4 linked regions of the Tamandua tetradactyla genome follow. The protein of the gene in region 1 purifies or fractionates together with the protein of each later gene. This does not show direct contact. Links are inferred from orthologs where the notes say so. Each region holds a gene or a part of one and is shown in the gene's direction. Other genes may lie near its edges.

Region 1 (6,864 bases):
AACCTGCCTTCCTGCCTACCCTGCAATCCCTACTTCGATGGGCCCGTCCACAAGCCTAGTTTGCTTCTCATCTCCCCAAGCTTCATGTGTCACTGCAGTGAAGCTTCGCCTTTCTATTTGCATCTTAATGGCGTGTATTGGCCCTGGGCCACCTTCGGAGCCCACTGGCCTGACCTCCTCCCCTGTGGGAACCCCTCTGCTTGCTCATCTCCACCTCCAGACGCTGAAATAAAAATATTTGTTTTCACTTGGCTGTGGTCAGAGTGGTGGTGTTTCCTCCTTGCAGGGACTGTCTTCCACTTGTGACTGCTGACAGTGCCTAGAAGAGCTAGAGGGCCTCTGTTGTCTCGTCAGGTGCCTGTCAACAGCCATCCAGCTTTGAGCTGACCTGACCTCCATCTCCTCCTCATAGGCACCTTTCAAAAGGGGCTTATTTTTATAGAAGTGTCTCACGTTACCAACAATATAGGTGTGGTAGGAAAAGCCAAGGAGGTGGGGAGGCCCCACTGGAGCCCCACTCTACAGGGAGGTCCCCAGGCCTGAGTCCCTCTCCCATACAACACACCTGGGAACCAGGTCAGGTGTGGGGTGGGCCCCATCCTGTGGCCAACCTGCTGGGACTCTGACCCTGACCTCCCCCCCCATCCCACCTTACCCCCGTGTATGAGCTTGGTGCCATGTTACCAGATGACCACAAATGCAGTAGTTGGGAACACTACTACTGCAGTAGTAGTGGGTTGGACACCTGGGCCCAGGTTCCCAAGTTCCTGTGGGTTGGAGCCACACGCACACCTGGGCCTCTGCCCTGGCCCTCTGCAAACATCAGAGGCCTGAGGGAAGGACCTGCCTGCAAGCTTCCTCAAGATGTACACAGAATTCCCTAGGGTTGAAGTCATTTTCTACTGGGGGGGGGGAGGGGCAGCTGGGGCCGATCTCAGACAAGGGAGGGCCTGGAACACTTTCGCAGTTCACCTGATTAGGTCAGGCCAACCCCACACAATCTCCCTTAAGTAATAAAAAAAAGCTGACGGGACCTGTATTACACTGGCAGAATTTCTTCACATTCACACTACTGGCTAGAAGCCACAAGCCCCAGGAGTCAGACCTTGGGATCATCTCAGGATTCTGCCCACCGCACAGTCCCCCACCCTCATTTTCCCTTGGGAGCGCTAGAAGCCCCACAAGGCCCTGGAGCCCCATCCAGGGCCACAGGGCTTCCCTCCATCCCTGTGGTAGGTCCAGTTCCTGGTCTGTAACGTGTGCTCCATTCATTTCACCACTGTCCAGTGGAAAGAAAAGTATGGAAAAAGAGGTATGTTTATTTTAACACAGCCAGCATGCCAGCTGGCGGCAGGGGGTGGAACCCACCCTAGCTCTACCCAGAGTCCCAGTAGGGGCAGCCCTGTCAGCAGGAGTAGAATTCACCAACGGCTGGGGCATGTGCCGTCCCCAAGTGCTTCACAGCATCTTCTGACTTCGTACGTGTGGCTGGCACAGGAGGGTAGCACCAGCCTTCAGATGCCTGCTAGGCCCTCAGTGGAGGTACTGGAGGGGCCAGGGGTGCAACCCTGCCTCCCAGGGGGTCCAAGGGCCCAGCTTCAACGATCATGTGGACGTCTGTTTCAGCATGCTAGCAGCAGTTCACTGCACCCACTGTGAGGTGCCAACCCTGTCCTGTGGTCCCAAGGCATGAGAGAGGGAAGAGTGCTGGGGTGTTTCTCCAGAAAATTAGCCCCTGCCCATCCCCACACAGCCTTGGGCTTTCCAAGGAGGGGAAAGGCAGGGGGTATAAAATAGTCCATCACAAATCCAAGCCTGGCCAGGAAACTGGGCCAACCTGACAACCCAGCCCAGGGCAAAACGAGCCAAGGGCTGTGCATGTCTTGGGGGGGCTCATGCCTTCAAACTGCTCAGCTGGAACCGGGCTTCCTCGGAAATGCCGAACTGCTCCAGGGGGTCCTGGGAAGGTGAATGGGGTGGTCGGGAGCAGCAGTGAGCCCAGGGCCCTTACCAGAAGGCCAACCCCAACCACTGCCTACTCCTGCCCGCCTGCCCTTTGCCCACCTTGCCTGTCATCTTCTGAATCTCGTTCCTGTAGAAGATCAAACTTCTACGCATGAACTCGTAGCTGGGGGAGGAAACCACGTGCATTCACGGGGCTTGTTCTGCAGAGCTGCGCTGCCCCCCACCCGCCTCAAGCTGCCCACTGCACCCCACCTGGCCTGACGCAAAGCCTCTGTCCACTGCTGACACTGTTCCTCACTGCAACACTCAAAGTGATACTTCCTTTCTGGGTCCTCAATGAAACCTGCAGAGGGAGCAGCCTCTGGTCACCCCATTCCAGCAGCCACATGCCCCCGCCTTCTGTTACCAGTGTCCATATGTGCCGTCTGGCTCCAGCCCCAGCCCAGGCTCATTTCTTCCTGCTCCAGGGACCCGTGGCAGTTCTCAAGGTGAACCAAGTTGCAAGGCCTGGGATGACATGCCACAGCCAGCCTGGGCCTTCCTGACACTGCTGGGCTCTCCACATTAACTCTCAAGATATGAACAGAACACAAAGGCTTCCTTTGGGGCACTGGTAACACTGGACGCTAGCACCACGGCCCTGATCGTGGGCCTTCATCCGCCAGGAAGGCCAGCTCCAACGTCCCCACCTCCAGCAGTTTTCCTGCCCACACCCAACCCCAACCCTAAACACACTAGGCTGGGTATTTCTGTACCAGACTCCATCTGTCCCTGCACATGTGAGACCCTCAAGAAGATGGCCTGGGGAGAATCCTCTCAGGAGGCAGCACAAACCCAAACACTGAGGGAGATAACCACCCAAGCGCCCCAAGAGGGCAATGCTTAACCCTAAAGAATGACAAGGTCCAAATGGAGTTCTGGGAGGCTGCTACGAAGTCTCCAGGATGGTTGGGTGCATGCAATCAGCCCCAGTGACCGCAGCCTGGGGCCCTCGGGAGAGAGCAAAGTCTGGGGGGAGGCCCAGCCTGAAGGGAGAGGCTGCGCCTCAGAGAGCCGACCTTGAGAAAAAGGACTTTGTGTCGGGACAGAGGTGGTGTCAGGCTGGGGAGGGGATGGTGGGGAGTCCTTGTCCCCTGGCCCCACTCACTGATGGAGAAGACGCTGGGCTCTTCCTTGGCGACTCTGCAGTGCTCCAATAACAGGGCTCCGATGGGCTGGAGGAGACAGAGGAGCAGATGCGGAGAGCAGGCCAGGACCTGGGCCCCCACTTCACAGGAGGCTTGTACCTCCCCTGACCTCGGCTCCCTCCCCAGCCGAGCGGCAGGTTCCAGGTGGAAAGGATGCAGACAGATGGTTTTCGACCAGCAAACCACGGCACCCCTGGGTCAGACGATCTGGGGGAGTGAAGAGGCCGAGGGGCGAGAGACTGTACCCCGCGCACCCTTTCTGCTCCCGCCTTCCTGGGACCTCCCCCTTTCCGCGGACGGCGCCCCTACCTCGGCTTCGTCCGTCCGGAAATAGAAGAGGAAATTTACCACTAGCTTCACCAGCCGTCGCTTCACCACTGTGGGCACAGAGCGGGCTCAGGGCGGGCGGCCCAGGGGCCAGCCCCGCGCCCAGCCATCCAGTTAATCGGGTCCCCCGAAATGCGGAAAGCCGAACGCCCCAGTTTCTCGGGCCCCGCTCACCGCTGCCCTTCTTGGGGCCCCGCATGCCCAGCTCGGCCGCCATTTCGGCCGGCTGCCGCGACAGCGCCTGCAGCTCCTTCTCGTTGTAGCGCATGGCGCCGCGGAAGGGAGAACGCTGGACCCCGGTCCGTCGCCTGCGGCCAGCGCCAAAAAGGTCTCAACGCACAGTACCGGAAGTGCTGCCACAGCCAGTGCGCCTGCGCACTCCCTGGCCGGCCACTCTGTCGATTACCTGAGTGTAGCGATGGGGTCCGCAGGCGAGGGGTGCATAGGGGACTTGGACGGTCGTTACAAGGTCACAGAATAAACTGGACCTGGGGTGAAAACAGAATCAGGTCCACCCCACGATTGCTAGCATCCTTCACTAAAGCGGAGAGTACGGGCGGGAAGGACTCTCAGCGGGCTCTGCCCGGAGGGCTGACCCCCACGCGACGCGGAGCAAATCCGGAGGGCGTTGAAAGTTGTGCGCACGCGCACTGCGGCTGCCAGCCAGGCCTCCCAGCCCCGCCCTCTTCCCGCGCTTTCCGAGCGGTTCGCCCGAGCCGCCGGGCGAGCCGGGCATGCGCACGTGGCAGGACCCGCCCCACTTGCCCCCGGAAATGCTTTCTTAGCCTACGACGCGCGCGCGGGTGAGGTCGTGGCGACCACTGAAAGCGGGGACGGCTTGTGCTCCCTCGGACGCTGGTGAGGAGCGGCGTGGATGATGGTGGTGGGCTCTGGGTCCTGGGCTTCCTTGTAGGGTTCCGCGTGTGGGAGGGGGCATCTGCGACGGGCCGCGCGGCTGGAGGCCGCGAGCTGAGGAGCGAGCGGCCTAGCGGTCTTCCTCGGGCTCACTGTGCGGGCCTGAGGCCGGGTCCCGCCCCCAGGAGGGGCGAGGCCAACACGCCCCAGACCCTGTCCCCTCCCGGCGGGGCCGCGGTGTGGCGAGCCCTCTGCTGAGACAAAACTTGCCTTTTAGCTGTCGGACTTTGGGACCTTGGGGAGGGGGTGTCGCTTCGCGTCTGGGAACCTCAGTTTCCGTCTCTGTAAGACGAGGGGTGTGGGCGATCACTGCCGCTACTAAATTAAATCAGGTCGTGTCAGGGAGAGCGTGGAATACCTTCCGAGGGCACCCAGGAAATGTTAGCGGGCCCGTTTTGCATATGAGCCCAGAGGTTACCTGATCGCCCAGGTAGTCATTGTTTGATGGCCCGTGACCGCCGATCTGTGGTCCCTGAGGGCAGGTGGAAAACCTGGGAGGAACTCTGCGGAAAAGTGTGCTAGATTTAAGGAAATTACCGTATTTTCATCGGGCACTATAACCCCTACTCCTTCATGCAGTCTCAGGCCTCAGAGGCCGCTTTTCATGTTTTTAAAGCCGTTCTCCCTGTTCTCTGTCTTGGTAAATAAATTAACTTCTTTCTGGACTTACCAGTTTTAGTCACAGTCTGCTGCTTTTCCACCGTAGTTGGTGAGAACTGACTTCTCCCACGCGCTGCAACATCTGCGTCCAAACCTTGCGATTACATTGCAACTTTTAGTCAAACCCTTAGTTGTATTTTCTAGTACTATAAATGTGTGTGGTTCGTCGCTAATGCGTTGTAAGGCGTGCCTTCTTTCGTCTACCATTACTTTTTCATCAATCCTTGTTTTCCTGTTTGCCTGGTTTTCTTTTTTTTAAAATTTATTTATTAATTTAAAAATAAAATAAAACAACATACATAATCAGTAATTCACAATATCATCACTTAGTTGCATATTCATTTCTTAGAACATTTGCATTAATTCAGAAAAAGAACTAAAAAGACAATAGAAAAAGAAATAAAACGAACACAGGAAAGAAAATAAAAAAGATTATACCTACCATACCCCTTACCCCTTGCTTTCGTTGATCACTAGCATTTAAACTAAATTTATTTTAGCATTTATTCCCCCTATTATTTATTTTTATTCCATATGTTCTACTCCTTTGTTGACAAGGTAGATAAAAGGAACATCAGACACAAGGTTTTCACAATCACACAGTCCCATTGTGACAGCTGTATCATTATTTAATCATCCTCAAGAAGCATGGCTACTGGAACACAGCTCTACATTTTCAGGCAGTTCCCTCCAGCCTCTCCATTACATCTTGAATAACAAGATGATATCTACTTGATGCATAAGAATAACCTCCAGGATAACCTCTCCAATCTGTTTGGAATCTCTCAGCCATTGACACTTTGTCTCATTTCCCTCTTCCCCCTTTTGGTGGAGAAGGTTTTCTCAATCCCTTGATGCTAAATCTGAGCTCGTTCTAGGGTTTTTCTTAATCCCTTGATGCTGAGTCTCCAGTCATTCCAAGATCTCTGTCCCACGTTGCCAGGAAGGTCCACACCCCTGGGAGTCACGTCCCACATAGAGAGGGTTAGGGTGGTGAGACTGCTCGTTGTGTTGGCTGGAGAAAGGGGCCACATCTGAGCAACAAAAGAGACTCTCTTGGGGGTGACTCTTAGGCCTAAATTTTAAGTAGGCTTGAGCTATCCTTTGCGGGGTTAAGTTTCATGTGAACAAACCCCAAGACTGGGGGCTCTGCCTATAGCTTTGGTTGTCCACTCTGCTTGTGAGAATATCAAGAATTCAACTTGGGGAAGTTGAATTTCTCCCCGTTCTCACCACTCCCCGAAGGGGGCTTTGCAGATACTTTTCCACTCACGATCGAATCACGCTGGGATTCATCGGGGCATCACTCTGGACAAACCAGCAAAATCTCATGTCCTACCTGAGAGTCTAAGCACTTATGGCGATCAATCAATCTACATAAGTTATATTAGGAAATGCACTAGTCAAAATATAAATTTTGTAATTAATAAACATTTTTTGCTTTAGTCTCACACAGAAGGTTACATTTTAAAATATTAATTACCATCTATTTTCAGTACCCTGCAATAATGACATTCCTTTGTTCTTCCTCATGCAAAAACATTTTTAAAATTGTACCTTGTACATTTCACTATTATTATACACTCTAGGCATTTCTGCCTGGTTTTCTTTGTACCTGTTACCGTTTCTTCCTCCAAAGTTCTCACATCTCACTCTCCTGACATCTCACTCTCCTATCAGTTGTATTTTCCATGAGCTCAAATAAGTTGATTCCTATATTTCCCCTGGAGACTCCCCTCTCAGACCTGCCCAAATTGTACTGGTTGCTTTGTAGCCTTGCAGCAAAGCTATAGTCCTAGAATTTTCTTTG
Region 2 (6,964 bases), on another chromosome or scaffold:
CTTTAACTGAACATGGCAAAATAGTCCCTCTTCTGAGCTTTACATTTGATGTCAAACAGTGAAGCAAATCCCAAAAATATATACAAGAAACAGCTTTAAATTTACAATAGGTGGTTTCCCATACTGATTAATCCCTGCAACTAACTCATTGGCTTATGCAATTCTATTGAAGAAAAATAAATAAATTGCTAGCAGCGCTATTAGGTGACCATTCATCCATTGACAATTTGCCCCAGTTATTCAGTGCTATATTAAACAGTATATTGGAAGATAGAGTAAGTAATAACTCCAAGCTTCCTAATAATTTCAAGGAAAATTATAAAATGTTTGAGACCCTATCTTGGAATATAAAGTGTGTATGACTTCCAATTTCGATTTTCTGTAGAACAAGAAGTCATCCCTTCATGGACAGGCATAAAGCACATCACATTTTCTGTTCTGCTGATGCTGTAAATTCAATACCAGTTCTACAGCCACATCAGTTATGAGCATTAGGGTCACCATGTGCCCTCAGCTCTCCAGCAGTGGACGGCTTGGACAAGCACGGGTGCTGCTACGGGGTAAGCCTGTGTCCTCCAATGTGACAACTGAACGTCCATCTCCTGTCCGGGCCCCCACCCAGATGACGCCTTCGGTACATCAGAGCAGTGGGGAGTGGTTTCAGTCTCACAGCCAAGTTAGAATAAAGACCTGGGCACATAATACACATGCTTCCTTTTTTTTTATAAATAATTCTGAATCTTGGGCAGCCATTCTCTTGTAACTACCTTACAGTTTCTAAAAGCAGTCATTGCCCAAAGCTGGAAGAACTTAAGTCTTCTCAGATGAGCATGGAATGATTGGAGGGAGGTAAGCAAAAATAAAGTTTAAATGATGAAGTCTGGGGGTGCAAGGGTAGTTCCATGGTAGAATTCTCGCCTGCCATGCGGGAGACTGGGGTTCGATTCCCGGCCCATGCACTTCCCCACTGCACCCCACCCCCAAAATTCAACAAATGGTGCTGCAATAACAGGATAGTCATACGAAAAAAGAATGAAATGTGACCCCCACCCTTCAGTGCATACAGACACACACACACACAAAGATGAAGTCTGACAGGAGAGCAGCTGGATAAGAAAATTAAAAAAGGAAACATTAAAGTTATTCCTACTATAATGCAGGTATTCTGACTTTCATCCCATGGCATACTTCTGAATCCATCCTCGAAATGTTCAACTGCACTTATCGCTGTTTCACAGATGGCTGCCATCTCTGGCACTGGGGGTTCATCTGGGTTCAGATCACACAGCAGTAAACACATGGATAACAGAACTTCAGAAACAGTTACACTGGAGACCACTGTCATCTTAGAATAGTGAGCAAGTGCCGCTGCTACTGTCAATATCTGGATGATAAATTCTTGTGGTAAATGCAACCTTGACTCTTTGGAGAGGTGGGCTGTAGGAAAATGAATTGTCGAAAAGAACACACCGCCTTGCTATGAGCTGTCGTTAGGTCCTGGAATTGCGGACTGTCGATGAAAGTTTTCGTCCCCAACTGGACCTGCAGAACACTGTGCTGGGGGGAGGGTGTGCCATGGGCCAAATTGCCGAGCTCCTTATTAATCCGTGTCAGCCCACATGTGTGCTTTCTGCCTGGCTCCGTGCGATTTCGGCGTGTGCCCAAAGGTCCAGCCCAAAGTCCTGATTATCAGAGCAGCAGGGAAGGACTGAGTCTTCCACTCACATCGCTTCTCCAGACACAGAGTCCGGGGCCCCCACCCCCCTCAAGCTGCAAGCTCAGCCTCCTCCCCAGCCCTACGGGGGTCATGCCAATATTACAGTTCTTTTTATTGCCAAATAATATTCTACTGTACGGATATACCACTTTTTGTTTATATCTTCATCACTTGAACATTTGGGTTGTTTCCATTTTTTTGGCAATTGCAAATTAATGCTGTGAACTTTCATGTAAAAGTGTCTGTGTGAACAAATGTTTCCATTTCTCTTAGGTAGACACCTAGGAGTAGAGTTGCTGAGTCATATGGTAACTTTGTTTAGCTTTTTAAGAAACTGCCAATCTATTTTCCAAAGTGGATGTATCATTTTACAATCCCACCAGCAACATATGAGGGCTCCAATTTTCCCACATCCTTGACAACACTTACTATTGTCTGTCTTTTTATTAAACAGATTGTAGAGGGTGTGTAGTGGTTATTTAAAATGGTTTTAATTTGCATTTCCTTAATGGCATATGATATTGAGCATTTTTAAAATTTACTGTCCATTTAGATCTTTTCTTTGGAAGCATGTCTATTTAAATCCCTTGTCCATTTTTCAATTGAGTTGTGTTACTATTATTATTATTTATTTGTTTTGGCTTTTAACAAGGGGAATTTAATAAGTTGCTAGTTTACAGTTCTAAGGCCGAGAAAATGTCCCAGTTAAAACAAGTCTATAGAAATGTCCAATCAAAGGCATCTGGGGAAAGATACCTTGGTTCAAGAAGGCCGATGAAGTTCAGGGTTTCCCTCCCATGTGAGAAGGCACATGGTGAACAGTCAGGGCTTCTCTCTCGGCTGGAAGGGCATGTGGCGAATATGGCATCATCTACTAGCCTTCTCTCCTGGCTTCTGGTTTCATGAAGCTCCCCAGGAGGCGTTTTCCTTCTTCACCTCCAAAGATTGCTGGCTGGTAGACTCTGTGCATCTCATGGCTACATTGTTCTGCTCCCTCTGAATCTCCGAGTTGTATTATTATTATTAATTTGTAAGAGTTCTTTATATATTTTGGATACTAGTCTCTTATCAGATGTATGATTTACAAATATTTTCTCCCATTTTGTGAGTTATCTTCTCACTTTCTTAGTGGTGTCTTTCGAAGCACAAAAGTTTTAAATTTTGATGAAGTCCAATTTGTCTTTTTGTCTTTTGTTTTTGGTGACATATCTAAGAAATCATTGCCTAATCCAAGGTCACAAAAACTTACTCCTTTGTCTTCTGCTAGAGATTTTAATAGTTTTAGGTCTTGCATTTATGTCTGTGCTCCACTTTGAGATAAAGTCTGCATAAGGGGTGATGTAGGGGTCCACCTTCGTTCTTTCTCGTGTAGCTATCCAGGTGTCCCAGCACCATCTGTTGACAAGATGACTCTTTCTTCCTTGAATTATCTTGGCATCCTTGTCAAAATTCAATTGACCATAACGCACGGGTTTATTTTTGTACTCTCAGTTCTAGTCCCTGGATCTGTATGTCTTTCTTTCAATCTTACAATAAATTGGCTTTAGCCTCGCCCTACATGTCGTGGAGACAAGTTACCTCCTTACTGCCAGGAGCCTGAGAATTCTCCGGGACACATTTCCCCGCCGCTGCTTCTTGCACCAATTCCTTGTTTTCACTTCATTTCCTGCCTCGGCTCAGGGTCTCGCCTCCATAACGCAGCCCTTCCCACTCCGACTCTTTCTGGAACCCCTCCATCCCTTCATCCCTTCAAGTACCATAAAAACACAGTGAGTGACAAACTTTTACTCAGAATTTAAGAAAAATGGATGAAGAACCTCGCAAAGCTCACATGGGCAGCAACTTCGAAAATCACTCAGCACCGCGGCTCAAGGGCTCCCGAGCAGAGAGCCGGGCGGGGAGGCGGGGAGGCCTGGGTCCGATTCCAGAGGAAAACAACACCCACGCAGAAGAGGCACGCTCACCAGCCAACCATAATAGGACTTCTTTCTTTGCGAGCGGCCCCCTAGTGTGTCCTGAGCCCCTCTCCCATCTCGGGGGCTGCCGGAGGTGTGCGCTTCCTCAGGATTTGAGGGGCCGGGGGTGACAGGGCGCTCATGCCCAGGCAAGACCGGAACTAGAGTCGCGGGGCCCGGGCACCGGGGGACCACAAAGACACCGGGACACGGCGGCGCGCGCTCGCCTGCAACTCGTTCCCCGCACTTCCGGCGCGCGACCCGGAAGCGGAAGGGGGCCATTTCTCTCTTTTTTTGCTCCTGTGCGTCTCTCCTGCGTGGTTCGATCTCTCCGGGCAGGAGAGCGGCGGCCGTTCCCTGTGTGGTGTGAGGCGGAGGAATCCGCTGAGGGCGCGGGGCAGCCGCGGCCATGGCGGACGTGACCGCCCGTAGCCTGCAGTACGAGTACAAGGCGGTGCGTCTGGGCTGGCGGGAGGACTCGGGGCGGAGGAGCGGGATGGGGCCCTGGGGCTGAGAAACAGAGCTGCGGCCTGGAAGCCGACGGGAGAGCCGGGAAACCCGAGGAGAAACCGGGGTCCACGGCGCTGTGAATAACCCCGTTGGGGGCTGCGGCGGGCGGGCCTGGCCAGGGGCTCTGAGGGTTCATTCCCTGCCCCTTGCACAGGTCCCCTCCGCCGGGCCCCCACTCTTTTCCCTATGGCCTATTATGGGCTCTGCTAGGAGTAAGGATGGTTGGACTGAGTTGACAGGCCATAGAACTTAGTTCAGCCCTTCGCCCCATGTGCAGTTTTATAAAATGCTACAGCTGCCTCCTTCCTTTATCATCATCAGTTGATATCCCTGTGTTATAGGATATCGGCCCAGCTGATGTCAAAGTTGCGATAAAATTGTGATTTTTTCAGAATTCGAATCTTGTCCTCCAAGCTGACCGGTCTCTTATTGACCGCACCCGCCGGGATGAACCCACAGGAGAGGTGCTGTCCCTGGTGGGGAAATTGGAGGGCACGCGTATGGGAGATAAGGCTCAGCGGACCAAACCTCAGATGCAGGAGGAAAGAAGGGCCAAGTGAGTACGCTGCGAATACTAGGTTTTTTCTCCAGATCAGAGTCCCTTCTCAGTGAATTTTTGCTGAAACGCCTGGTGCAAGAGACAGGTCAGTGTCATTCAGACACCTTGGTGGAAGTAAAAGCAGTACCTGAAAGTTAAAAGGTTCTTTGGCCTTAACAAGTGTGGCTGCAGTGGAAAATAACTTTCTGGGAACTTTTTCTAACATATCTTTTTCTGGTCCACAGACATCTTCATCTTCACAGCATTTATGAGACCCTTGAGTCAGTTGCTCTTTTTCTAATTCCTTTGCTGGCTTCCTGCCCTTACTTTCCTTTGCTGTTCCTCACTTCCTACTTTTTTTTTTTTTTTAAGTCTTAAGCTAACGCCTAAGCGTCCACTGGTATGAAAAACTTTTTTTTTTTTTGAGTACTTCTTGGGGTATATATTTCAAAACCTAAATAATTATTGACTTTATCTCACCATTATCTTTTTTTTAGAGACACATGTAGAACTTTTATTTTGCAGGGTTTAAGTCCCTCCAGAAAAAGTTTGCTTTTTTAGACTTGCAGTATCTAAGCAAGAACATTTAAAATAGTTTGACATTTTTAATGATAGAATGGTGTGGGTTCATATTCTGTAAAAAAGAAAAGAAAAAAGGTGAAATAGAATGGCCTGTCTTACAGATCACTGGGGAGAATTACGTGCAAAATTAATTTTCTCCTTAAGCCAGACAAGCATATATAACTATCTGCTGTGGATAGGATTCCAGTTTTAAATCGTGCTGGAAATAGCAATGGGTGGAAAAGGAAAGTTTTGGATGGGAGCTTTCGAATAAACCATTATCTTTTGCCCCTGAACATCTCTGTTTCCTCCTCGTGATAAAGTCTCAGACGTTCCTATGCCTGTTTTGATTAAGGGAGTTACATTTCAAACAGTTTTATATCATTGGCCCTCTACTTCACAGAGTATTCCGCCTGTCCCAGTTTTGTTGTAATTTGTTGGGAGTCAGTGGCAGTAGATTTATCTTGACTCTTCAGTTTTTGAAGGTAGGGAAAGAAAATGCCTCTGAGCGGTGAAAAACAAGTCAAAATCCGATGGTATAATGTTATACAAAGTGTAAAGAGTTGTCTTCTTTTAATTAATGAGGGGAATGTTCCATTGTAAATTTAGTGTATCTAATAAGGGGATTCCTTTTCTGTGTCCCATCAAAAAATGTCAGTTATAAAGTACAATTATAATAATATTCTTTGGTCAGTTATAACAAAGGTACTACACTAGTGCAAAGTGCTAATAATGGGGTGGGGGCAGGTGTATATGGAAACTCTATATTTTCTGCATGATTTTTCTGTAAACCTATACTACTTTAGTAATATATAGTAAAGAAAGAAGTGTTTCCCGCAGGTGACTAAGGGCACATGGAATCATTTGCTGAGATGTAGGTTCTTCTTTTCAAATGTTGGGTGTGCGCCATGAAGCTGAGACAGAGAGGGGTGCCGTCTTGATTTGGTTTTGCCTTGGAGAGGGAAGAGTCTACCTGTTTAATGCCAAATGTGTGTCTGTTAGGCGAAGAAAGCGTGACGAGGACCGGCATGACATCAACAAGATGAAGGGCTATACCCTGCTGTCAGAGGGCATTGACGAGATGGTGGGCATCATCTATAAGCCCAAGACCAAAGAGACCCGGGAGACCTATGAGGTGCTGCTCAGCTTCATCCAGGCCGCCCTTGGGGACCAGGTAAGGCATCAGAGAGCCAGGGAAAGGGTCAGTTCCGAGAGACACAGAACAATCTTGTTTTTGGATTTGTTGTGTGGGCCATTACTGAGAGTTCACTTTATGTGTTTTTGGTCCTTGCAAAAACTCTCTTAGATAAGTGCTGTTATTCATTTTCCCTGTTATGAAACAGAGACCTGAAGCACAGAATGGTTAAATTCTTCTCCCGAGACTCAGGGGAGGTATCTGGATGGGAACGCAGGTAGTTCACAGAATCTGCTATTAGCCCTTACACAAGCACGGTTAGGTTAAGAGTTCTGAGAGGCTCTGGGAAAGTGAGAGATAGAGGAAGTGAGGACAAAGAATTCCCAAAAGTGACAGGCTAGGGGAGGGTGGCAGAGTGCCTTTCCCACTTGGAGATGTCATGGAAGCTGCATCCTCCCACTTACCTTATCTTTATTAAGTTGTGTGACTCTTGAGTGTCATTTTTGGTCCACATTAATGAAAATGGTCAGGGCCTGGTGTGACGCAGG
Region 3 (7,978 bases), on another chromosome or scaffold:
TTTAATGATTCAGCAGTCATATTCATTTGTTAAACCTTAATGTTTTCTGTATAACCACTATGGTAGATTCAGTTGTCAGCTTGGCCAGGTGAAGGCACCTAGTTCTGTTGCTGTGGACATGAGCCAATGGCAAGTGAACCTCATCTGTTGCTGGTTTACATCTGCAGCTGGCTAGGAGGCGTGCCTGCTGCAATGAATGACATTTGACTTAACTGGCTGGTGCTTAAATGAGAAAGCCCAAAGCACAGCCAAAGCAGCTTGGCATACCTCATCTCAGCACTTGCAGCTCAGCCCAGGCCTTTGGAGATGCAGAAAGGAATCACCCCGGCGAAAGACGGCAGTTGGAACCCAGAGGCCTGGAGAGAAGGCCAGCAGAGATCGCTTTGTGCCTTCCCACGTAAGAAAGAACCTCAGTCAAAAGGTAGCTGCCTTTCCACTGAAGAACTAACAAAATAAATCCCCTTTTATTAAAAGCCAGTCTGTCTCTGGTGTGTTGCATTCCGGCAGCTAGCAAACTAGAACAACCACCATCATCTTTGATCTTTCTATCCCATCTTTAGAGATATTTGGGCTACGGCCATTCTAACTCTTTCATGTTGGAAGGGGCTGTCACTAATATGGGGTAGGGAGATAGAACTAGCTGATGCTCTGGAGAGGCTGGGCCCTCTAGGTTTCAGGACTTATCTGGTCCGGGGACCCATCTGGAGGTTGTAAGTTTCCGGAAAGTTACCCTAGTTCATGGAACCTCTGGGAGTGACTCTTAGACCTAATTTTAAGTAAGCTTAGCCTATCCTTTGAAGGAATGTTTCATAAGGGTGAATCCCAAAATCGAGAGCTCGGCCTATCGATTTAGTTGTCCCCATTGCTTGCGAGAATATCAGAAATTCTCCAAATCAGAAAGTTGAATATTTCCCCCTTTCTCCCCAGTGCCCCAAGGAGACTTTGCAAATACTTCTTTATTCACTGCCCAAATTACTCTGGGATATATTGGGGCATCACACTAACCCGGACAAACCAACAAAATCTCACGCCCTGGGGCGGGCCGCGGTGGCTCAGCGGGCAAGAGTGCTTGCCTGCCGTGCCGGAGGACCCCGGTTCGATTCCCGGCCCCAGCCCATGTAAAAAACTAACAAACAAACAAAATATAATAAAACAAGAAAATGTTTAAAAATGTTTCCCTTTCTTCCTCCTTTCCTTCCTTCCATCTTTCCTTCCTTTCCTCCCTCTCTCTTTAAAAAAAAAAAAAAAAAAAAAAAAAAAAATCTCACGCCCTATTCAAGATTCCATGTATGCATGGTGTTCAACTAAATTGACCATACATGTTAAATTATAATGTGCTACCAAAAATTTAAATTTTGTACTAAATAAACATTTCTCCCTTTGGTCTCACACAGAACCTGAAGTTTTAAAATATGGATGATCTCATCCTTTACCCTGTATTCTGCTCTACTTTAATCCTGTCCAGATAGCTTCCTTCATATCTCTACTCAAAGTCTGATCCCTTTTTCAACTTTTTAAACAGTCCCTGTATGGGGTACTGCTGACTTTCTTAGCTTCAGAGCTCTTGAGTCTCAGGTCATACATAATCTTTTAATAGTCAAAAAGATCTGGATTCAACAGTGATCTTGTCAAGTTATTTAACATAAGTCCTTGATTTTCCTGTAAAATGGAGATAGTGGTACCTACAGGTTTGTGGTGAGGCTTAAATGAGATGATGTCTGTCAAGTACTTATTATAGTATCTCACACAGTAAGAATTCAATAAATTTTAGCAATTAATCTCTCAGCTGTGCCAATCAGAAAGCTGATCTTTTATTCCTCCTCACTCAATCCCTAGCATCCATTTAATCGCAGTCCTCTCTGGTGCTTTATGACCGCATGCCAAAACCCTGATCCCAGCTACCACCACAACTTTTCTATATATTTACAACTGCCATTTGATCAGTCCCCTACCTCATTGTCTGGTTCCATTCCTTTCACACTTTGGCCAGAATGATTATTCTAAACTGTAACACTGCTCTTGTCACTTTCATGCTTAAGCTGGTAATTGGTTCCCCATTGCTTTCAAGATAAAATCCAAAGGGGATTTTAAGGCCCTTCATGATTGAACCCAGCTTTTCTCTCTCTCCATTTGTCCCTTTCAAACACACTTTGGGATCATGGCATATACTGTTTTCTCCTTTTCCCCTGTATATCAACTTTTGGTTTGGATGTTCTCCGAGATGCCTTCCCTGATCCCTCTACCAGGTGTCCTTCTATGTATCTTGATAAGTTTACTTCTAGAATAACAGTTTATTTCTATAATCATGCTATACTGTGCTTTATTTCTTGTTTTTCTCCTTCTATTAACTTTCAGTTCCCCAGAGGCTGCATCTTCATCTTTTTTACCTCTCTAGTCCCATTACCTAGTATAATGCCCATTTAGATGCTCAATGTTTCTTGAAAGTATATAAAAAATTAGCAATGATTTATTGAATCCTACTATGTGTCAGGCATTGTACTACATGTATCTTTTATGTGATATTTAATCCTCACAGTACTCTTTTACAGTGAAAATAGTATTCTCATTGTATGATTGAGGAAACAGTCTTATAAAAATTACCCCAAGAAATCACTGCTAGTGATTGGGAACAATTGGGAAACTAAGGGTTTAAAACCATCTTGATTCCAAAAATTGTAAATAAAATCAATTTCCACAAAACTTTTCCTTATGGGGAATTGAACCCAGACTGTTAAGAGCACTGAAACAAAATTAAAGATTCATTACAACCCTGCAAAGCTGGGACTTGGGTTTTATCCCATTGTATCGTGCCTTCTTATCAGTGAAGGTGGGTTTTGGCATGTATTTCTTCAACTGTTTAAAACCAGTCATTTGATGTAGAAATTCCATGCTTCCTGGGAAATACTAATTTTCCGGCGAAACTACTATTCCAAGAAGACATCATGGAATTTTGGTTTTTGTCATTTGTAATCTAAAACATAACTGATTTTTTCCCCATTTCTCATATGAAACTGTGTCATAACTTTGGACACACTTTTTCAAACTATACTTTGCCTGCAAACATGCTTTTTGATATCAGAGATTTAGAGGATCAGAGCTCTGTTTGGAAGAAAGGGAAGAATACAAACTTCCTGATAAAATGTGGAAAGCAATACTGCCATTGCCATGTCTAACTCATTAATTGAATACTTGTTGGGTCTGGCACTATTCTAGATCCTAAGACAATATGAAACAGTTCTTGCCCTGAAGGAACTTCCGTCCTTTAGAAAGCAAAAACCAAACTTCAGCAGGCGCTGAGGCAAGCAAGACATTGCTGGAAAAGATTCATCCTTTAATTCAACAAATAATTATTAGGTACTTAATTGTGTCAGGTGCTATGGTGGACATTTAGGATATATCACTGAACAAAACAAAGATCCCTGCCCTAATGGAGTTTGCATTCTAGTAGAGGGAGTCAAACAATGAGCAATAAACAATAAGTAAATTATATAGTAATAGTAACATTTGACTAAAATTCTGAAGATGAGGAAGCAAACCATGTAGGCACCTGAAGAGCACTCTAGGAAGAAAGCAACAAGTACAAAGGCCTTGAGGTGAGATTATGCTTAGCAGTTCAAGGGGCAGCAAAATGGTCAGAACTCTGAAGCTGAATGAGTGAAGGGAAGAGCAATAATAGAGGTAAGGAGTGAGGCAGATCTTCTAGGGCATTTTACTAGAGACAATGGAAAACCACAGGATGGTTTTTAAATAGGGGAGTAATAAGATCTCTCTGATGTGTAAATATGATCACTGTGCTGTAGAAGCAAGAGAAAGGGATTCAGAGCCTACAATATTAATCCAGGGACTAATACTGTAGTAGTGGAGGTAATGAGAAGCAGGTGGATCTGTACATACTTTGAAGGTAGTGCCAGTGGAATTTGCTGATGGATTGGAGAGAAACAGGGTTCCATGATCTCTCCAAGGTTACTGGCCTGCATCACTAGAGGGATGAAATTGTCATTAACCAAGATGAGGAAGTAGGTGGGGATGGGGGGTTAGAATCAGGAGCTCAGTTTTGGTGGTAAAGTTAAGACATCTGTTATATATTTATGCAGGCTACTGGATATACTGTTTTGTTTCACGGCTTGTAGCTACCGTTTATTGAACTGCGGAAGGCACTTTTTAAACTATATTACCCTTATCCACGAATGTGATCCCCCGAGCAGCCCTATGATTTTTTTCCCCAAGTTTTATTCACACACCATACAACCCATCCAAGTGTGCAATCAATGGCTCTCGTTTGGATTTTTCAAAGTATCTTATTTTACAGGTGAGGAGAGGGGAAAAAGAAGGCTCGAGTTGCCTAATGTCACACAGTTGTGGGAGAGCTGGAGTTCAAGTCCAGGCAGTCCGGTTTTAGAACGTGTGCTCTTACTAAGTCGCTAAGCAATACTTAACTCTCACAGGGTGCAAGGCACGTGGTGGTAGGCGGTGAATAAGTATTTGTTCCGTCAATAAATGAATCAACGAAAAGGCAAGCTGGGGGTGGGGCGAGGTGTGGGCTATTTTCTCCAAAGTTCTCCTATACTCTTTTTCTTCCTGGGTGATTTCTGTGATTACTCTTAAGTTAGGGAGCGAAGGCTGAGGGAGGGGTGGGGTGGCAAATGCCAGTAATGGCTACTTATTCTACAGGGTTTTACTTTTTACCAGAAAGGCCGTGTTTGAGCTCGAACGCAGAAGCTCCACTTGCAGTTTATCGCACTTATTCTCTACGTGAGGAAAACTGCTAGCAACCCAATTTCCGCTTCGGGGAACACCAACTTTTTTGTAGCAATTTGCTTAATATTTCTCTAGCCGGGAAAACAAACCGCGGGGAACTTGAACGCAGGACCTTTCGGACCCCTCTACACATGAGGGACACCAGCAGGAACGTGGCGACTACGGCTGCGCGAACCCACAGTCCCGCCCCTCCCTCGTCACGTGCTGGGGGCCGGCGTGGCGGCGGCCGTGGCGGCAAGGACGGCGGGCCGTAAGGCGGTCCGAGGGCTTCCGGTTCCGGTGTAACGTTCGGGCTCCGTCTCAGGGGCTGAAGTTTGTGAGGTGAGTTGTAGCCCAGGGCCCAGAGGTGGCAACCTGCGGTCGGAGCGACTGGGGCCGGGGCTTGGTCACTGGGACTGTCGTAACGGGAGGGTTCAATGGGAAGGAGGCTGGAAGAAGTTTAAGGTTCCGTGGGAGAAGGGGTTGAAATGGGATTGTTGAGAGGAACAGGGCGGGGGCGGGGTGGGGATGGGGTGGGAGACTAGTAATGAGGTGAGGAGTTTGGGAAGGAAAAGGGGGGTTGGTGGTTGTCGGCTGGAGTTAAAGCCAGAAGAGGAGAGAGTAAAAATAGAAGAATGAGGATTTCCGGGGGGTCACTCGGATTCTAGCAAAGAAGAGCACGGAGTAAGGAATTCTTTCGGAAGATTGAATTCTGCAGCCTGCCCATTCAGATATCATTCTGCCTTCCTCCTTCTTCCACCCTCCCCCCACCACCACGCAGTTATTGTTGGATATTTGACTCGTGACAAAGCTAGTTACTATTTGAATATTTTAATTTTTGTCCACTAGCTGTTTCATTTGTACATTATCTTAAGAAAGATCGGTTTAAACTTGAATGCGTTTGTTAGTATAGTGCTTGGGCACCCATGATGGTACCTCGTTTATTGCTTTGTGTTTTCAAATTGCTTCCACTTTCTCGTCCATGATTCAGTTCTAGCGGACTGTATGCCCCGTTAGGGTGAGGATTCTTGTCTGTTTTATTTACTGCTGTTTGTATCTTCAGTGCCTACTACACTGATTGATAGTACTTGCTCAATGAATATTTATTGAATGAATTAAGTGCATTGTAGATATGGCAGTTTTCAGTTTAGGAGTAAACTGAGGCTCAGAGAAATTAATTAGCTTTATTCATTAACTTGCACAAGGTTGCTGGTAAAGGGCAGGGTGATGTCCAAATTCTTTAGTTTTATTTCTATCCTGTTTGAGCTCTTGTTGCCAGAGTTGTGTACCCACTATAGTCCTGAATACGCCTATTTAGAGTAATGGATATTTAACATGTAGAGATTGATAAGCCTGTTTCATTTGGGGACAGTAGGGCTTTTTCACTTAGCACCATAAATTATTTATTTAACTTGTCAGTGAGAAACATAGTCAGTTTTTAATACAACCTTCAACTTTACTTTCGTTCTTTTATTCTACTAGCTTTATTTATTTATACCAAAATTAAATTCACTATTTGACAATAGGTCTTACAGAGGGTAAACCTGCCAAGGATGTGGAAATTAATCAGACTCTGTCTTTTAGGAGAAAAGATGTCTTGAAACATCTTGAAAGATTGACTCCCAGATATATGGTACTGCTGGGAGGAGTTTAGTTTGGAAATTGAGATCAGTGTGATTTATTCTTTTAGGCACTATAGAGAAAAATCAGAGAAATAAAATGTTGTTTATGCCCATGAGAAGTTTTGAGATTTAGATAAACCAACATGTAAACATGAATAATGTTTTAAAGTAACACTAATTAGCATTAAATAACAAATACAAAGATTTTTTATTGAGAGTCCTTTATCATAGTGTTTCTCTGCTGAGCTAAAAAATAGAAGTGAAAAGGGAGAAGGTCAGAGTATATCCAGAATGAAGGTGTTCTTTTCTGAGCTGATGGATTACTCTTATCAAGTCAGAGAACGTGAGAGAGAACTGGTTATCTGGGTACAGAATTCCCACAGGGATGAATATAACTACAGAGAAATGAGACAGAACGTTCTTAAGGATTATGAGCTTTAGTACCAAATGACTTGCTTGTCATTTCTTAAGGAATGCTTATTGACATCCCTTAAGAGAAAGAAAACTTTTAATGGGTCAGGATTGGGTTAGGGAATGCATCCCCGGAAGTAGAAGAAATAGAAAAGCTGACTTCAGGATAGAGTCTGTCAGTTTAGTTTTCATGTTATACGTTTGCCAGGCCTTGTTGATAAGACAAGATTGGAAACAAAGCTAGAACTCATTTCTTAGACCAGATTATTCCCAGGGTTGGTTGACTTCTTTCACAGAGTTCATTGATCCACTGGTAATTACTGAGTTAGGTTTAAAAATCAAATGGAGAGTGGTGTGATGGTGGCTTAGTGGCAGAATTCTTGCCTGCCATGCCAGAGACCCGGGTTCGGTTCCTGGTGCCTGCCCGTGCCAAAAAAAAAAAATAATAATCAAATGGAATCTAGTTCTGCTTTGAAGTGTGGTTCTTGGGGAAAGTATTTTACTTTGAATAAACTGGAGGAACCTCCTTAAGGATTGAGAATATGGGTGGGAAAGGCTTTCCTGATGTATTAATCATTGCTCTGGGTCACTTTAACTTTTTCCTATCTTCTGTCTTAACCACTCTCCTGATTTGTTTTTAGGTGCAGTATCAAGTTCTATTTTATCTATCCTTCTACTTTTCCCAAAGAATGGCACTGTCTAAGAGGGAGCTGGATGAGCTGAAACCATGGATAGAGAAGACAGTGAAGAGGGTGCTGGGTTTCTCAGAGCCCACAGTGGTCACAGCAGCATTGAACTGTGTGGGAAAGGGCATGGATAAGAAGAAGGCAGCTGGTATGTACCTTTCTGAATCTTTTGACCTAACATTTAGGATGACCCTTTAAACATTGCTTCTAACATAACCAAAATTCTCTCTGTTGGGATCATCTGAAAAAAGGTCGGGCCACATTTTATTCCCTCCTGCTTTATATTGAAATAGCCTGAATAACTAATTTTGCTTTTGTTCTTTTGCTTACTTTCTATATATTATTTTTGGTATATTTTGAAACTCAGACTGACTCCCTAAGTTATATTTACTTAGGAAATATACTAAAGTTAGATAAATATATTAATATAGTGTCAGATTGACATCTAAACATTTAGAAGTCTTTATGAAATGCATGAAGAAAGTTGAGGGAGGTAGATTTTAATGGTAATTTTCCTACTAT
Region 4 (7,987 bases), on another chromosome or scaffold:
CTTTTTAAAACTTGTAACAGGCCCACGAGGTAAGGATTATCATCACTCCTGTAATTCTACCGATGAGGAAGCTGCAGCTCAGAGACCTTAAATAATGTGCCACGGTCACAAGTAAGCATCAAAGCTTGGATACCAACCCAGCAGCCTCTCACCTGCTGTGCCACCTCGGAGCACTCAGTTCCCACTCTGTAGGTAAAGCACACCAGCTGCTTCCCCACACAGCCCGAACTAATGAAACAAATCACCCAAAACCATATAATTGCTAATGCACTGAGTACATACTGGGTGCAGATGGCACCAGTGCAGCCCTGTCCACCCCTGGTCTCCTGTGTCCTGGGAGAAGGTCACAGCGAGCAGGTGCTGCAGACAGAGGAGGGTCATGCCCTCAGCAGGGCTGCCAAAGACCAGGTGGACTCTGATGGCCTGCTCTTTAAGACTCTTATCACCCCTGTGCTAAAGATAAAGGAAACTGAGGCTCCAGAGGTCAAGTGTGTTTTCTGGCCAGTGGTTGGAGAGATGCTGTCCGCTTGCCAGGCCTCAAGTTCACAGCTTGTCTGTTTTCTTTTTATTTTATTTTCTTAAAATATATTTTTAAATTTATTTATTAATTTAAAAAATTAACAAATGAAATAAAAGTTAACATAATCAGTAATTCACAATATCATCACTTAGTTGCATATTCATCATTTCTTAGAACATTTGCATCCATCCAGAAAAAGAAAGACAATAGAAAAAGAAATAAAATGAAAACAGAAAAAAAAAAAGATTATACCTACCACACCCCTTACCCCTCGCTTTCACCGATCACTAGCATTTCAAACTTTTAAAAATATTTTTGTTGACAAAACAACATATAAACACATTCTTAACATATGAACATTCTGTACTTAGTGTACAGTCAATGGCTCACAATATCATCACATAGTTGGGTATTCATTATCATGATCATTTCTTAGAACATTTGCATCACTCCAGAAAAAGAAATTAAAAGAAAAATCTCACACACACCATACCCCTTACCCTTCCCTCTCATTGACCACTGTATTTCCATCTACCCAATATATTTTCACCTTTGTTCCTCCTGTTTTGTTTTTTTTCCTATATCCCTTACCCCTCCCTTTCATTGATCACTAGTATTTCAGTCTACTCAATTTATGTTAACATTTGTTCCCCCTATTATTTCTTTATTTTTTATCCATATTTTTTACTCATCTGTCCATACCATAGATAAAAGGAACATCAGACACAAGGTTTTCACAATCACTCTGCCTGTTTTCTTAATAAGGCAAGCAGTGTAAGGTTCAGAACACCAAGGGGCAGATGTTGGGCTCAGAAGGGTGTCACCTGTGCCCCTTTGATCGTTTACTAAAGAGAGGGCTAAGGCATGTGCAGGTATTTCCGGCAAGGTTTCTCAGGCCTTACTGCAGTGAACTTTGCCCTGGGACTGGAGACCCTGCCCTGCCTTGGAGGGGCGGGCAAGAGAGGTTTGGCCACAGTGAGGCCTGTCAACTGGGTCATCCACTGTTACCCTGTGATAGGGAGGCCTGATGTTTTCTTCTCATTACTGAGATGACAGGCAGGGCTGACAGCCCCTGGCAACGCTTCCTCTCTCTTCTGGGGCTCCGAGAGGTGGCCGTCCTCATTTCTAACAAAAATAGCACGGAGCGATGAGCAGGAAAAATGCAAGCCAGGCTGGAAGGCAGCCCCTCGTCTCCCTCCCCTTTCAACTGTTGTAAATTCCCTCTTGATTGGCAAAGACCTCCATCTTTTTTTGCAGTAACTCATATTGCTGATGATGGGGTTTCCAAGTCTATTTCTTTTTCTTGGCTCCTTCCCTTGGCACATGGCCAAGGGTCCTGGCCCAACAAGGCAGACTTTTTCCAAAGGGCACACCTGCCAGAGGTCTCAGCCCGAGTCCCGGGTTATGCCTGCTTCTCCCCTCCTATGCCTTCTGTGGCTCCTCCCCCACACCAGGCAGCCTCTCCTATGTGCTTTGCAAAGGGCCACTTGTCCCCATATGCTGTGGCCAGAGGGTCTCTCTTGCTGCCAAGATGCTCTTATCACACAAGACAGTGCCTAGTTTGTTGAGCAGGTAGATTCTGGCAAGTGCACAAACTGGGTTTTTGTAAAAAGAATTGTGCTTCCCCAGGAGAATCCCGATTTTTCCAGGATGTGCTGTTTCATTTGCAACACATCTCTTTTGTTTCGCTGTCTCCTTTTCTGAACAGCCTATTTATAAGAACCACAGAAAATGCTGGCAAGCTCGTCCAGTACCCGTAAGAGCCCAGTAAAAGTAAAAAGTGCCCAGACCCAGAAAGGGGCACTGCCTTGTTCAAAGTCGCACAGCCAACAGCCTCCCCAGAGCTGAAGTGTGAGGGTGCAGGGATATGGCTGCGGGCAGGGAAGAGCTGTACAAGCAGCTATCTGGGGCCTGAGAAGCCAGTGCCGGCTCCTCTCCCTTGGGGAAGGGGGGTGACTGGGAAGCCCCCACTACCCAGCTGTGCTACGCTGGACCAATCTCTTGACCTTCCTGAGCCTCTGGCTCACCATGAATAAAATGGGGTGAACAATTCCCATCCTGCTGACCTCCAGAAGAATCTAGGGCAAGAGTGGGAGTGAAGGAAAGCTGGGGAGCACATAAAGCCTTTAGTGAGGACAAATAGGCTCAGGAGTGGGGGTGGGTTGTGCCCAGAGGGCTGGCGGGTCTGGGGCCAGGTTAGCTGCCCAGTGGCCTCTCCTGTGCAGGCGCCAGGAGCGACAGCGCTTTGCCGAGTACCAGGCGGAGCTGCAGGGCATCCAGCACAGGGTGCAGGCCCGGCCCTATCTGTTCCAGCAGGCCATGCAGGTGAGGCCCTGGGCAAGCACAAGGCTGTTCTCTGAAGACAAAAGCTTCTTCCTGGCTGAGTGGGGGTAGGCAGCAAGGTGGGGACTGGGCCCCCCCAGGCTGGTGCCCACCTGGAAACCCAGGGAACCCACCCACCCCCAACTGTGGCCAGAGCCCCACTGCATCCTTGGCAGGAACCCCTCTTCTTTCTTCTTAGGCCAATGCCCGGCTCACTGTGAGCCGGCGCTTCTCCCAAGTGCTGTCGTCACTGGGCCTGGATGAGGAGCGGCTGCTGGCTGAGGCGGGCAAGGGGGATGTGGACAGCAGCCCCAGGAAACCCAGGTGAAGTCGGCTGGCTGGCCAAGTGGCTGGCTAGCCCAGCCGTGGGGAATGGGGGAGGAAGCACTCCCTCTCCCTTCCTCTCCCCCCTCCCCTCCCCTCTCCCAGCCTAGGGGGACATCTGGGGGTGGGGTGGCGGGAGGCTGAGAAACTCCCTGGGCAGCATTTTGATCACCCTGGATGGAGGCTTCAGGACTGCCCTGCCCCATTCCCCTGCCTGAAGGATTCTGCCTGGCCCTGGCAACGAGCAGAGCCCTCCCGAGGCCCAGTTGTTCTCCATATCCCCAGAGAGGGAAAGGCCAGGGTTATTCTTGCCACTTCTCAATGAGGAAACTGAGAATTCAAGACCCAGGACCAAGTAAGCAGCCGAGCCATTTTGGGTCACGGCAGCCATCTGTGCAGCCATGCGTCAAGCCTCCTTATGGGGCTGGTGCCACACTGGTTGCCCTATGTCTACTGTCCCTTACTTCTGCAGAGCAGGGCTCCTGAGGTCCACTCCACAATAAGGAAACTGAGGCTCGGGGAGGTGACATCCCTTACCCAGGGTTACACAGCAAGCTAGCACAGGAACTGGGATTTGAACCTACGTTGTCAGACACATGGCCTTTTCCCTCCTAGCGCCGAAGGGTGGGGAGTGGAGGGTACAGCTGTGGCGTCCTGTGGCCTCTATCTGTGTCCTCATCTTTAAGGAGCCACAGACCATCAGGGCTGAGAACAGAGCCCTCTTCTCAGAGCCCCCCGAGGACACAATCCAGACATGCCGGCAGCCAGCCTGACTGGCGCTCTGCTCCCAGCCGGGACCTGGCGTCCAGTCCCCCAGATCAAAATTAAATGATCTATGGAAAATACAGCGTGGGATTTCTGGGGTGGACAGGGGGAGGGAGATCTGCTAGTTGGTTGTAGGAGGTGGCAGGTGTCTGCCCCCACCTCCCCCAGGAGCTGACTGTTCTGTCTGCTCAACCCCCTCCCCCAACATACACACAACCCAGTCTCTGAGGGGTGGGGAACCCATGCCCAGTCTCCAACATGGAAGGCACACGTGGTCCTAGGAATTCAGGAGTGAACAGGACAAACAAGGCCCTTGCCTTTGAGGATCCCCAGTGAACACTGGTGGTGGTAGTGGTGGTGGGGTTGATCTTCAAAGCGACCTGCACAACAACCATAGCAGGGGACTGACGGGGAGCCGCCGGAACCCAGCAGCGGAAATGAGCAATTTTGGGTAGGGGGTGTCCGAAGGATTGTGTGAACTGGGCCTTAAAGTTATAGACCCCCCCCCAAAAAAGCAAAACAAAACCAAAAAAGTTACAGACCCCCTCCTCAAGATAAAAACAATGGCCACACACAGATGCGCCATATTTTGCACTCAATTTTCAAGGGATTCAGACACAAAAGCTCGTCTGGAGCTTCTTGGCAGTTCACAGACCCCAGGCTGAAAAGCCCCATCCAGGGGACATCGAAAGGCAGCGATGGCTGACTGTGGTGGTTACAGAAGCCCGGAGCGGGCTGAGGAGCTGGGGGTCTGCAGGAGGTCACGCTGCACTGTTCAACACTCGATGGAGTCCACTAGGAGGACGCCTGTCCACGGAAAGGCCGTGAGGCAGTGGGCACCGCGTGGCTGCAGGTGACACAAGCCAAGGCGGGGTTTCCAAGCTCTGGGGTTCGATCTTCCGCAGACCCTGTTCGCACACCCAAAGGAACGCATGCGCAGTTGAGCCGACTGAGCAAACCTCCCTCGCCTGCAGCCAAACGCACTTTGGGGCGCCGACCTCGGCCTTCCCGTGAGCCTCTGGGTCAGCCTCCGCGCGACCGACGGAAGCAGCCGCTCTTGGTTTCCGGCAACACGGCAGCCGCCGGGCGACCCGGAAGCGTTCCCATTTTGCGTCGTCGGGGCTCGGCGGCGGCCCGCTCGGGGCAGACGTTCCACCATGGGGTCGTCCAAGAAGCACCGCGGCGAGAAGGAGGCGGCCGGGACGACAGCGGCGGCCGGCACCGGGGGCACCACCGAGCAGCCGCCGCGGCACCGGGAGCACAAAAAACACAAGCATCGGAGCGGCGGCGGCGGTAGCAGCGGCGGCGGCGAACGAAGGAAGAGGAGCCGGGAGCGCGGGGGCGAGCGCGGGAGCGGACGGCGCGGAGCTGAGGCCGAGGCCCGGGGCGGCGCGCACGGGCGGGAGCGCAGCCAGGCCGAGCCCTCCGAGCGGCGTGTGAAGCGGGAGAAGCGCGATGACGGCTACGAGGCGGGTGAGGAGTAGGACCTGCGGAGGGACGGGGCCTTCAGGGGTCCCGCCGCGTGCGGGCCTTGGGATTAGGGACAAGTGCTCGCCGAGCACCGCCCCGGGTTCTCTCCGTCAGCCCTAGTTACTAAAGGGTCCTCCTTTGAGGCTCTCTAGAGACCTCAGTTGTCTGTCACATCACAGGCCTTAAATTGATGTGTTGAGTAAGTTAAAGGATGAATGAATGAGGTCACTATAGTGTGTGCAGATTGTCCTTAGGGCAGCAGGGAGTCATGGATTTCAGTTGAGAAGTGAGATGATCAGATTCACATTTTGTAAAGTTCGCTGCTTGGAGGGGTGGATTCAGAGTAGGCAAGACTGGAGGCAGAAAAACAGGTGTGGGCTGATGTTGGACAGTGCCAAAGCAGCAGCAATGGAATAGAGCCCGGAGACAGATGGAAGAAGTGCTTAGAAGTCAGAACTTGGATGAGGGTGGTGAAGGAAAGGAATTGAGGATGGCCCGTTGGATTTTGACCTGAGCATCTAGGTTGGTGGTGGAGCTGTCTATTGAAATGGGGAAGATGAGAGGAAAAGCAGACTTGTGGGAGGAGGGGAATAATAAATTCAGTTTAGGGGCATATTGAGTTTGACATGCATGGAGAAACACAGGGTCAGGGCTGAATAGGGTCATTTGCGGGGGTATGAGTATTTGGTTGACAAATGAAGTCCACTGAGAAAGAGTGAGGTGTGAGAAAAAAGGGTCAGGACGGGAACCTGAGAAATGCCAACGTTTTAGAAGTGGGCAGAGGACAATGCTCCAAAAATGCAGGTAGAGGAGCCAAAGGAGGAAAACCAGGTGAGTCTCAAGCATGAGGTCTGCGGGAAGAATGTTTTTGTTTGTTTGTTTAAGATAGTGGTTTTAGAAGGGGAGTGACATGCCACAAGAGATTAAGCAAAACCAGAACTAAAAAATAGCTAATAGGTTTAGAAATGGGGCTGTTGACCTTGGAGAGAGCTCAAAGGGGTTGGAATCTTAGGCCCAGGTGGAGAAAGGAACCTTTGGATAAAGAGGTAGGTTGATAGGGTGGGAATGCAAGCCAGGTGGCAGCTAGCTGGGGTGTCTAACTTCTCTCTGTGATGTTCAGTGAAGTAATTTGCTGTTTGTGAAGTGGGTGGAAGAGGACTGAAATGCTTTTCTGTCTCTGTTCCCAGCATCCAGCATAACAGAACTGGCACTAAAAAGTGTTTGCTTCTTGATATATGAATCACATGTGTAGATTTGGTCAGCCCCTGACTCAGTCATGCTGCCCTTATGGTCCCTGTACTGTCAGGGAGAAACAGCCCCAGAAATAGTAACCGTGCTATGGGTTTCAGGAGAGAGCAGTTAGTTCTGATCCAGTAATTGACAGGCCTTCACAGAGAAGATGGTGTTTCATCTTTGCATTTGGGTAGGATTTTACAGTGCAAACAAGGCCAGAGCGAGGGCAGTGCAGGTTGAAGGTGCAACGTACAAAGGTAGAGAGGTGGCAGTGTGAGGGAGGGATGCAGAAGATTGGCCCTCTTGGGACAGAAAAGGGAAGTATGTAGAAGCAGGATTCTCAGAGGCTGCAGCTCAGATAGGAAGAGTTGTTAGGAGGAAGACTGTGAGGGAAGGCCACAGTTGCTGCTGTTTGCAGGTGTCTCAGCAAGGCTCAGGTGCTGGATAAGGGATGCTGGCATCTTGACCCTGGTTCAGCTCCTAAGCCACATTTCTTGTTCCAGCTGCTAGCTCCAAAACCACCAGTTCAGGAGATGCCTCATCACTCAGCATCGAGGAGACCAAGTAAGTATTGTGTTCCTTGTAGTTCTATTTTTTTTCCCCCCTGAGAGAAGTGGCTTCTGGGGTGATTGCTTGTGGAAGCTTTTACATAATAAAGCATTCTGACTGGAGTTGGAAGGGCCATCTCAGTCCTCTTAGCCAACTGTTTGGGTTATGAAGAGGAAACAGAAACCCAAGTGACATTCCACTGGTGAGGGGCACGCCATGCCCAGTACCGTGTTCTGTGTTCTGGAGGCCAAAGCCCTTCCCAGTGCCCCCATGATTGGGAGCCTTAGGAGCATTCATTCTCGTCCTGTTTTCACTCTCTTTTTTGTTCAGAAATGCATTTGATGTCCTATTTCTCTGACAGCCCCTAACACTTGTGCCTCTCTTCCTTAGTAAACTCCGGGCAAAGTTGGGGCTGAAACCCTTGGAGGTCAATGCTGTCAAGAAGGGTGAGTGTGGGGCTGAGGATGGGGTGAAGGAGGGCTGTGGGTCGGGGAAAGGGACCATCTGAAGGGGGTCTTTGAAGAGTGGGGTTAAAGTGCAGATTCAGTACAATTTAGTGGTTTCATGTGTGTATGCACTTGCCCGAAGACACCCTCCCTGCCCATCACGATGGGATTCTGGGACTCTCCTTCTGTAAATTTGAACAGCTAGTCATTGCATACTCACACTGACTGAGAAGTGATATTACATGGGCTGAGAGAGGGGCACAGTTACTGCAGATTGCTCTGGGCCGTAGATGTTGGTTTATTATTATTATTATTATTATTATTTTGAGGGGTTTTTGGAAGGTGTGGAGGGTGCCGT

What was found.
Region 2: the proteins of SF3A2 (region 1) and SNRNP200 purify together in Homo sapiens (affinity purification with mass spectrometry; 4 studies listed by BioGRID and IntAct, with this or other methods). This does not show direct contact. The link is inferred for Tamandua tetradactyla from reciprocal best matches to the Homo sapiens genes SF3A2 and SNRNP200.
Region 3: the proteins of SF3A2 (region 1) and PRPF3 purify together in Homo sapiens (affinity purification with mass spectrometry; 3 studies listed by BioGRID and IntAct, with this or other methods). This does not show direct contact. The link is inferred for Tamandua tetradactyla from reciprocal best matches to the Homo sapiens genes SF3A2 and PRPF3.
Region 4: the proteins of SF3A2 (region 1) and SART1 purify together in Homo sapiens (affinity purification with mass spectrometry; 3 studies listed by BioGRID and IntAct, with this or other methods). This does not show direct contact. The link is inferred for Tamandua tetradactyla from reciprocal best matches to the Homo sapiens genes SF3A2 and SART1.

Annotation. Positions count from the first base shown.
Region 1 is NC_135337.1:80,639,762-80,646,625, reverse strand, and holds the start of SF3A2 (splicing factor 3A subunit 2), read left to right. Parts: upstream 1-3,847; 5' UTR 3,848-4,337; intron 4,338-6,864. Other genes in the region: PLEKHJ1 (pleckstrin homology domain-containing family J member 1), read right to left, coding at 1,894-1,959, 2,065-2,128, 2,218-2,308, 3,113-3,179, 3,462-3,529, 3,654-3,747. UniProt on the Homo sapiens protein: Component of the 17S U2 SnRNP complex of the spliceosome, a large ribonucleoprotein complex that removes introns from transcribed pre-mRNAs.
Region 2 is NC_135343.1:2,444,307-2,451,270, reverse strand, and holds the start of SNRNP200 (U5 small nuclear ribonucleoprotein 200 kDa helicase), read left to right. Parts: upstream 1-3,950; 5' UTR 3,951-4,081; coding exon 4,082-4,126; intron 4,127-4,574; coding exon 4,575-4,738; intron 4,739-6,283; coding exon 6,284-6,455; intron 6,456-6,964. UniProt on the Homo sapiens protein: Catalyzes the ATP-dependent unwinding of U4/U6 RNA duplices, an essential step in the assembly of a catalytically active spliceosome. Plays a role in pre-mRNA splicing as a core component of precatalytic, catalytic and postcatalytic spliceosomal complexes.
Region 3 is NC_135330.1:5,492,099-5,500,076, reverse strand, and holds the start of PRPF3 (U4/U6 small nuclear ribonucleoprotein Prp3), read left to right. Parts: upstream 1-4,971; 5' UTR 4,972-5,079; intron 5,080-5,095; exon of another isoform or gene 5,096-5,202; intron 5,203-7,411; 5' UTR 7,412-7,459; coding exon 7,460-7,604; intron 7,605-7,978. UniProt on the Homo sapiens protein: Plays a role in pre-mRNA splicing as component of the U4/U6-U5 tri-snRNP complex that is involved in spliceosome assembly, and as component of the precatalytic spliceosome (spliceosome B complex).
Region 4 is NC_135335.1:8,561,509-8,569,495, reverse strand, and holds the start of SART1 (U4/U6.U5 tri-snRNP-associated protein 1), read left to right. Parts: upstream 1-4,981; 5' UTR 4,982-5,088; coding exon 5,089-5,404; intron 5,405-7,137; coding exon 7,138-7,198; intron 7,199-7,573; coding exon 7,574-7,629; intron 7,630-7,987. Other genes in the region: TSGA10IP (testis-specific protein 10-interacting protein), read left to right, coding at 2,746-2,845, 3,042-3,166, 3,853-3,994. UniProt on the Homo sapiens protein: Plays a role in mRNA splicing as a component of the U4/U6-U5 tri-snRNP, one of the building blocks of the spliceosome. May also bind to DNA.